Drosophila melanogaster: one gene and its partner. The protein of the gene in region 2 purifies or fractionates together with the protein of the main gene of each other region. This does not show direct contact. Each region holds a gene or a part of one and is shown on either strand. Other genes may lie near its edges. The genes, in order: Vps33B and Vps16B.

What was found.
Region 1: the proteins of Vps16B (region 2) and Vps33B purify together in Drosophila melanogaster (affinity purification with western blotting, with the first as the bait; one study listed by BioGRID). This does not show direct contact.

What each region holds. Positions count from the first base shown.
Region 1 is NT_033777.3:25,471,521-25,476,288, reverse strand, and holds Vps33B (vacuolar protein sorting 33B), read right to left. Parts: upstream 2,800-4,768; 5' UTR 2,774-2,799; coding exon 2,717-2,773; intron 2,662-2,716; coding exon 2,561-2,661; intron 2,504-2,560; coding exon 2,185-2,503; intron 2,121-2,184; coding exon 675-2,120; 3' UTR 533-674; downstream 1-532. Other genes in the region: CG4553 (uncharacterized protein), read left to right, coding at 1-527.
Region 2 is NT_033777.3:29,814,148-29,818,482, forward strand, and holds Vps16B (vacuolar protein sorting 16B), read right to left. Parts: upstream 2,305-4,335; 5' UTR 2,260-2,304; coding exon 916-2,259; 3' UTR 774-915; downstream 1-773. Other genes in the region: ca (claret), read left to right, coding at 1-284; CG7829 (uncharacterized protein), read right to left, coding at 2,769-3,143, 3,195-3,581.

The DNA of each region.
Region 1 (4,768 bases), 4.3 Mb from region 2:
ATCTGCGGGAGCTTAAAATCCAGGATTGGCCCACAAAATCACAACTACCGACTCCGCAAGGCAACGAATTCCGCAAACTGCTGGGCAGCAGTAGTAAAACAACAGAGGAGATGCCTACACCACAAATCCCATCCGGCTATGAAGCTCCACCCTCTGCTGCCGAAGATGAAACCTATTTGTTGGACAAAATCCGTAATAAAAAGAAGATGCGGCTGCAGGAGCTTAAGGAATTGCAGCTCGTTGAGTCTGCGCCCGCAGTTCCAGAGGAAATGAAGCGGCCCATCGAGAATCCCAGTGGCACCGGATTCCTGCCCAGTTTCGTGCCCAAGTTTGCGAGCAGCGAGATTGTGATCAGTGCCGCGGATCAGCGCAAGTATGAAATAACCCAGGTGAAAACACGCATTGTTATTCCCCGGAAACTGCATCGCCAAGGAGCCACTTACCGGGTGGAGGATGCCTATTACGATGACGATGGAGAGCTGCTCTACCGAGTGCCTGGAATGACCAGAGCCAGTGGTGATAAATAGCAAATGCCACTTTTAGGTAATATTTATTCGAAAAGAGCATTGTTTAAATTGTAAATTTCGAAAATTGTTAATCACAAGCTTTGTCATCATTGTTTTGTATAAAAATATATAAAACATTTGATACACAGATTCTTAGTTACTTCATGGTCAGCGGTTGAAGGCGGTGGCGATCAAATCACTGCCCGCCATTAGAGAGTCGGATGCCACGGTTATTTGGGCGCCTGTTAGCTTTGCCACAAAATCGCAGGCGGCGATTTCCGCATAACTGGCACCACCCACAATGAATACAAAGAGATTCCTGAGACGCAAGGGGAACATATCCTGATCTGCAACTCCGTTTAGCTTCACTTGGCTGGCATAGGCCTTGGGCGTGATTTTTCCGCTGTCCAGGTGTAGATGCAGCCCCTCAATCATGCCCAGCTTCGAGGACAACTCCTCAGCACTATTGATTTTCAGCAAAATGGAGCAGAGCTGAGCCACCAATGGTATGTAGGTGCCATTGAACACAAAACTGGGACAGGTCTGCAAGCCACTGGATTGGCTCTTGGAGGAGGAACCTCCATCCTGACCATCTCCACTGGAGGTCAACAGCTTTAGCCGATTAGCATTGGCCTGAAACTCCGTTTGCTGGAACTTGGGCAGAGGTAGATTTGAGAGCAGTTTCGTTGGCGCCTTTTTCTCCACCACAAGTGGTGGCAACAAGCCCGCCTGCGACAACTGCTGGAACACGCCCAATTCCTGGTGTCCAAACAGATTGCAGTAGTTCCGCGCAAATATCTGCAGCTCCTCGGGCGCCACGCCAACGCAATGATGCAAGAGGCACAGCAGTCGCAGTGTATTAAATCTCTGACCATCTGTGGTCAACAGCTCGTCGATCTCGCTTAGCAATCGCTTTCTTGAATCATTGTTTAGTATGTCCTCCTCCAGCGTTTGGAGCTTCCTGAAGTTACCCATCATTTGGATCACAATCTCGCTGGCATTCAGATGCCTAAGGACTTTGCTCTTAAGCTCGGTTAGTTTGGGTAGCTTCCTGGCCACATAGTCATGCATCTCGTCCAGCTGCATGTCATTGAGTTTCTGCAGTTCCAAGCCCAGGGCTTTTACTTGTGCGTGAATCAAACTGCTGACCTGAGCAAATCGTTTGTACCGATTATCGCCGTAGATCTCATCGGATGTGGAGTTAAGACGAATGGAACACGGCTTGCTGGCTGAGTTTACGCCTATCTTGGATTTCTTTCCCTGGAGTAACTCCACACGCTGGCTGCGGATCTTGTTCTTGGAATTGTCTACCAGAATCTCGCCAGAACTATGCTCGAAAACTTCCAAGAGAAGACCTGCATAGATGGCCGGAGTGAGCAAGCTGGCGGGGTAATCCTTATCCCGATCGATGACCAGCCAGCCGCCATAGTCTGGAGGATTTGTGGGCGCCGGAAGTTTGCCAAGAGTCTTCGCCATTTGCATTAGCTGCGACGAGTGGTGGCCAAAGCTCAGAATCAAAGACGGTTGTCCGCAAATCATCTGAAGCAATCGCAGGCTCTGGGCCACCGCAGGCAATGGAGATGTGTTCTTCTGCAGGTAGAGACACTCGTAAAGCTGAATAATAAGAATATCCAGTATAAAAGACTCTTTTCTGAATGTTCAATGTACATCTACTCACATTGGGCAGCTCCAAGCTGAGAACTCCCTGATCAAAATAGATGAAGTCCCAGTTAAAGTGATGAAGTTGCACCAGTCCGTACAAACCAGCCTGTTCCAGCAGGGTTTGAAAATAGGAGTAACAACTGGGCACACAGACTATGTGATACATTTTCATGGAGATGTCGGGCATTTCCTCTGAGGCCACGGGTTGCAATTGCTTGAGAAGTGTCTGAAATGTACCCAAAACACTGCGGATCATGTAGATGTGCACCTGATCGGCGGATCGGGGCAAAGATTGTGCCGCATCATGTTTGTAGATCCGTTGTATGCCCTTCAACCTGTTAAGGGGTATATATAAGACGTAAATATCCATAAAATATGGATTAAACACCTACTTCAGCCAGGAGGCAGTGACAACATGTTCCAGTGGCTTTATCAAGTCGGGCTCCAAAATTAACTCCTTCTTTCCAGGTATGCTACATAGTATGGAACAAAGCTGCAGTCGAATTGCAGGTAGTTAATAGTTTCACTCTTCCGATTCATTATTATACCTTTTCTTGTGCCACCAACTGGAATCCCTGCAGCTTTTTGTCCAGCGTCAAATCCATTCTTCGCCGCACAACACAAACAGCTGATGCAGCAAGGTAGCAAAATGTAAGGTGACGCACGCAAAATAAAATAGGGTTGTCACAAAGCAAATATATGCAGTTTTTATTACGTAAATGTTTATCGCAGTCAAAAAAGCAGTATTACTAGTTATTCTATACAATACATTAAACAAAAGCTATACTCAAATTAATTATTTTGAACTTATGCTACTACTGACGTCACAAAGTGTTGAGTCACCATTAAAAGCATTAATTGTGCACAGTCTTAATTCCTGCCGATCCAAAACTTATTTTCAAAGTTCGAGCTATCCGGTTTGTTAAACAAAAGTACTTAATCTACTGCTCAGTTTGATTGCATACCACTGTGCGAAGGCTGTTCGCTCACGAACTATCGAACCGGTTCGCCATGCGTTCCCATCTTTAGACGGGTATTTAAGCGCGATTCGCTGCAAAAGTGGCAGTTTCGTTCCAAATTCCGAAGCGAGAGTTTGTCGTGGGAAGTTGTTGCGCGCGCCCTGTTCGCATTTATGTGTTTTTATCGTGATTCCGTCAACCGAAATCATATGTTTTTAGCCAGGAGAGAGACGATTGCCAAAACAGCAGCAAAACGGGCGGAGTTCTGCGGTGGAAAATCGAAAATTAGCAAGCGCACGGAACACACTGTGATTGGAGCGAATTAAATGTGAATCAAAATATGGTTAGCCATTCGAAAAGCGTGTAATAAAATCGTGAAGAAAAACCAGAAAACAAATTTGTTATCGCTCTCTGTCTCTTTCTCTCTCCCATTCTCGCTGCGATTTGCTCTCCGTGTGTTTATGTCTCAGCTGTCCAAGTGTGTGTGCGGGTGTGTGTGACGTATGTGCGTGCAAGTGTTTGTGATTTTATGTTGTTGTCTTGCCTGCTTTCGCGTGAAATTCAACAACAACAACAACAGCAGCGGCAGCAACAACAAGCAAAGCAACAGCCAACAACAAATTTAAATTGAGATTTTCCATATTATCAAAAGTTACAGGCGCCTATTTTGCAGTTATCAGGTGAGCTTGCACTTACATTGTTTATAAATAATTTGGGTTTGGCGCATGTGGGTGAAACTGTGCAAAAATATGTGAAATATTTAATCTAATGACAAAAATAGCCGTGCGGTCTGGTTTGTTGTTGTTATTTTGGGCAATTGCAGCTTGTTGCATGTTCTCGTCTTCTCTTTTGTGCCGCAGATTCGTCTCTTTTTTACCGCTCTCTCCTTCTCACTCTGTCCTGCTTGCAGTTGTACATTGTTGCCTTTGTCAATCATTATCTTTGTGTTTTCGCTTCGTTCTGTTTTTGTTTTAGTGGCTAACATTATTTTCTTATAGTCCGTGTGTGTGTCTTCTTCGCGTTTTCTTTGCGGTTCAATTGTTGTTGCGATACCGGTTTGAGCAGCTGTCTCGCTCGGGCACGCTGCACAGGTTGCTGTTTAGATTACTTTTAATTTTTCTATTCTTTGCGCTCCCGTGCCTTCTAATCGCATCTTCTTCTTCGTGCTCATCTTTCTAATGCCCGTTTCTTATTGTTGTTGTTCTTGTTGCCCCTCCCAATTATGCTTTATTTGTTTGTATTTCCCTCTCTCCCATTAAAAATAAGTTTTTGCCATGGGTTTTATAATTTATTGGCCTTTCGATTTATTTAAAAGTTTAATTTTTGCCCAGACTGTTCAACTTTTGCTAATTGCCTACAAGTTTTAAAAGGTTTTTAAGTAGTTTAGCTTAGAACAGGTTTTGCAACAGTATGTTTTGTTAGGAGAGTCACGTTAGAATGTTTCAACTATATATGATTTTTTTTAATATTTATTGTTTTATAATTGAAAGCATAAATAATGTAAAATTTGCGTTCATATTATTTTTCTTTTTATAATTGTAGGTTTGCTCTCGAAAGTGCGAGAAATTTTAAACATGAATCATCATTTCAGAACTAAACAAATCTTAAGAGATTTGTTTGTATTGCATAAAATACAAACAA
Region 2 (4,335 bases):
TGGAGTGCGAGCGGTTCTTCATGGGCGACCTGGACTACTATCTGCTGGAGCTGGCCTACGTGTTCTACTTCAACAACAACAACTCGACGCTGGAGCAGAATCTCAACCAGAAGTTCAAGCAGCTCATCGCGGCTGCGGACAGCAATCAAGCGGCCACGTCCGCCGGCCAGGAGCTCGAGCAGCTGCAGGACACCGATGTCATATTCGATAGCTTTACGGTCAAGTTCAAGACGATCCTGTGCCAGCGCCTGCTCAGCTACTCGGACTGCGATGCTGCCAATTAGCAGTGGCTGGGCCCTGGAGCTTCGTTTCCGGTTCAGATCCTGGATCCTCTGAAATTTCGTTCAACACGCATCAGTTGAGGGCCCGTCTGTCTTGTTTAATATGTTTCGTTATGAGTTCTGACCTAGAACCGAGGACTGCCCCCAGCACACACAACCCCAGACTCACAGACTCCCGGACTCCCAACTCCTAGAACCCATCTTCCCTTACATTTTTACGCGTAACTATATATATATACCATAATTGTTGTTTGCGGTTATTTATACATCAAATGCTTTTTACAGCGCTGTTATTTAAACGAAATATTTAAGACAAACAAATTGTTTAAAGAATCCAATTTTTGTAACGCTTTGTTTGCCATTGGCCACGCCTGCTTTTATTTGTTTACTCAATAAACTACACAAAAATCTGAGACCGAAGGAAAGTAATCCAAAACTGCTCATCGAACAGATCAACGGAGGCTGCAGGATATACACATGAAACATACAAATGATACAAATTTTTGTTTTTTATTCGATATTCAGCTTGTGATTTGCAATTATTTAATAAAACCAGAGTAGTAGTAATATAATTATATACACATATAAATGATTAACAATAAAATACGTTTATACAAGTAAAAGAAAGTCAATTTTACAACTTGAGCTTGATGTTGTCCGTAGTCCATCGCTTGCTCTGGAGGCTTTTCAGCGCATTCTCGCAGTAGAACTGCTCCTCGGATCGCTCGGGCAGGGTGTCCTTGAGCTGCTGTAGCTCCTGCTGCTGCTTCAACCCGGCCATGGCATCTATGACCGCCTTGATGCACTTCACCCGCTGGGCTAGCGCCAGTTTCTCAACGCTGTTGCCCATCTTGGAGAGGAATAGCTGAAGGACGGTCGAGGGAGCCTGCAGCTCGTACAGCCGGAGCACGGCCAGCGTCAGATCGAAGCTGATGTGAAACTGTTTGGTCTTCAGCGGATGCCAACTGGGCACCCGCTCAAATATGCACTCCAGATCCGCATAAGCCTGTGCCTGCGCCCTTTCATTGAGCGCCGTCCACTCGTACTGGGCCGGCGATATTTGCTGGTCGGCGGCAAAACGCTGAGGTGACACTGGTTTGAGCATATCCTGCTCTTTCCAATTGCTGTTCACCTGGCAGCAAGCATAGAGCACTTCCACTGGAGTGGGTTGATCCCGAAGCAGCTTGCCGAGCGCGCTATCCTTCTCCATTAGCTGCTGCATCTTGAGGGCAGCGTGAAAAACCTGCTCGTAGAGAGGTATTACACCCACTCCCGCTGTGGCATAGGCATCCACCAAAAGCTGGAGGTGTTTCTTCCTGGTGCTCGTATCTCCGGAAGCGAGCGCTGCCTGAAACTGCTTAAGAGCCGCCTCCTGGTGGCGTCCAAATAGCTGCAGTAGCTCAATATGGCCCGCCAGGTCGCCACTTTCCTTCAGGTAACTCAGATACTGCTCCAAGGCCTTGGGTCTCTCCCTCAGAATGCCATGAAACTGCGTGGTATTCAGAGTTCTCTTGAGGAAGAGCAACACTGTAATGACGGCATGCCCACCACCTTGTGCCATCAGGGTGTCCAGCAGCTGCTGCTTCTCATGCAGCGACTTGAACATCTCCAAGGGCGCAGTCTTTCCTTGCAGCAGCTTCTGTGCAGTGGCTTCTAGATTGGGGCTGTACAGGGTGCTCTGAAGCTGTCGGCGCAGCAGCTTCAGCTCCTCCTCCGGCGAGACACCCTTGGGCAGGACCCTGTCGTCCAGCGCCTGTTCCTGCAGCACCAGTTTCAATGCCTCCTCGCTCAGAATGGATTTGATCGAGAGATTCAGGGCGACACTGTTATTGAAGCTGGCCTCCGAAATGGTGTCGTCGGCGAGGATGCCATTGCTGACCAGATCCGGGGCGAGGTCCACCTCGTCTTCGTCGTCGAAGCTGAACGCTGCGCGAGAGGATCGGTTCCAATAGCTTTCGCTGTCCAATTGCAGGTCCATTGTTATTATTCGTTATTAAATGTAAGGTTCTATTTTGTGACGACCAGTGTGGCTGCGCTAATGAATTTACCGTTTAATGCACAGACATGGTCGCACTATTTTCGGCTATTCAAATATTTAAAAATAGTTTCAGTGAAATCCGTTATGAAAAAGCTGTTAATTGTTTATAATCTTCGTTGAATCAAACGATTGACACAGAAAATTAAGCAATTTAGAATTTAGAACTTCTTTCCAAATTGGCTAGAAACGGGAACGCATTTGATTTGTGCAATAAACTAGCAACGGCTAATTCAGCAGAACATCAAGTTTCATCATAAACTCTTTTCGCTTTCTTTTATTCACAAATAGTTGGCTTTTAATGAACCTTAAAGTTTTTATTATTTTGTACGATTAAATCCGCGTAGATTTTTTCACTTTAAGCGAGAAAGCATTTACGTGCACGTTTTTATGCGTCTTTCATGGGTGCCAACTGCTAAAATAGTGAAACTGCCCGAATCAAGTATGTTGCATTACTTTGACTTATTCAAGACCTGGTCTAGCCAGGGATGCAGTGCATCGAGGCGGGAGTAGACTCCCGGCTTGTCCGCCAGGGCGCACCCCACTCCCCACGACACGATGCCCACCAGCTGCTCCCTCACCGACAAGGGTCCACCGGAGTCCATCTGGCAGGCATCCGTGCCGCCCTTGAGGTAGCCTGCACAGAGCATCCGATCCGTCACAGTTTTGCCCAGTAGGTTCCTGCAGGCGGTCTGATTCACGATCGGCACTCGGGCATATCTCAGACTGTCCGAGGGAGGACCATTCATGGACTTAAATCCCCAGCCGGCAATGGTGGCATAGGTGCCTTCGGCTACTCTCTCTGGGTTTATGGGAATGGCCTTTACCTACAGAGCAAATTGCTGAACTAACTCATTTTAGCTGAGAGTATTTCAAACCTTTCTAGATAGTGTTAGGTTTTTGGTCAACCTGATGATACCGATGTCATAGTCCATGGTCTTGGGATTGAAATTCTCGTGGACTTGCAGGTCAGCGACCGAGAACAGTTCCCCATCTTTTCGGTAGCGCGACGTTCCGCCGACCTTAACTTTCAGCAGGCGATGTGGCACTCCGTTCAGACAATGGCCAGCCGTTAGGATGGTGTGGTTATTTATTATGGAGCCGCCACAATGGTGGATGCCGTACAGTTGGATGGACACTATGTACGGAATGTTGGCGATATCGGCTGGGAAGCCACCGACTATGCGTGGATCTGGGCGACTCTCCAGAGATAGACACCCAGAAGCCTGGAGGAGAAGCAATTTCCACCATAACTTGTACATCATTCGCAGTTAAACGGAGAAAGAATCGCTTTAAAGTAGGAATGTGCGGTCTTTGGATCGCACCTTAAGTACGGAAGAACGTGAAAAATAATGAGAAAAAGCATTTCAATAAGTGCCCATTACTTTGTAATTAGGAAGAGGTTTCGTTTATCTCGCAACTGTTTCAGCTTCGCCGACAGACAGAATATACAATATATGTAACTAAGCTCCGTTCGTGCCGTCAGTTATTAAGAGCCGGACTAATTAAAGTTCAAAATAGTTGAAATGCGAGGAAAGAATGGACCAAATGGATTAAATTAGGGAATACTTAACTACCAAGTAGGTGCTCCAAGGGGCCACTTACCTAGCAATCTGCCATGAATCATCTTTCAATAACTAGGGCTTTCTTCGGTCCGATTCTCCTCGCTTTTCACAAATGTATATCATTTGAATAGCATTAATGGCCAAATCTGGCCTCCACTCATCTATTGTTTGCCCAATTTGTTATCAAAGCACGACCCGTTTTCTCGGCGAACGGACTCGGCCAACTGATTTGCATTGGCTTGACCCATAAATTTGGAAATCAAACACCGTTTGATGGGCCATTCTGGCTCTGGTCTGGCATACTGGCATATCCACGTCGAAAGCGCTGTCCCCGCCAATAAAGTGGGCTATTCGAGATCGGCAGATATCACTGATCTCCAGCCAGTGCGAATGGGGGATGGGGATGGGGGCTAGTCGAAATGGAGTAAAAGTAAACACCGAACATAAGCCCACA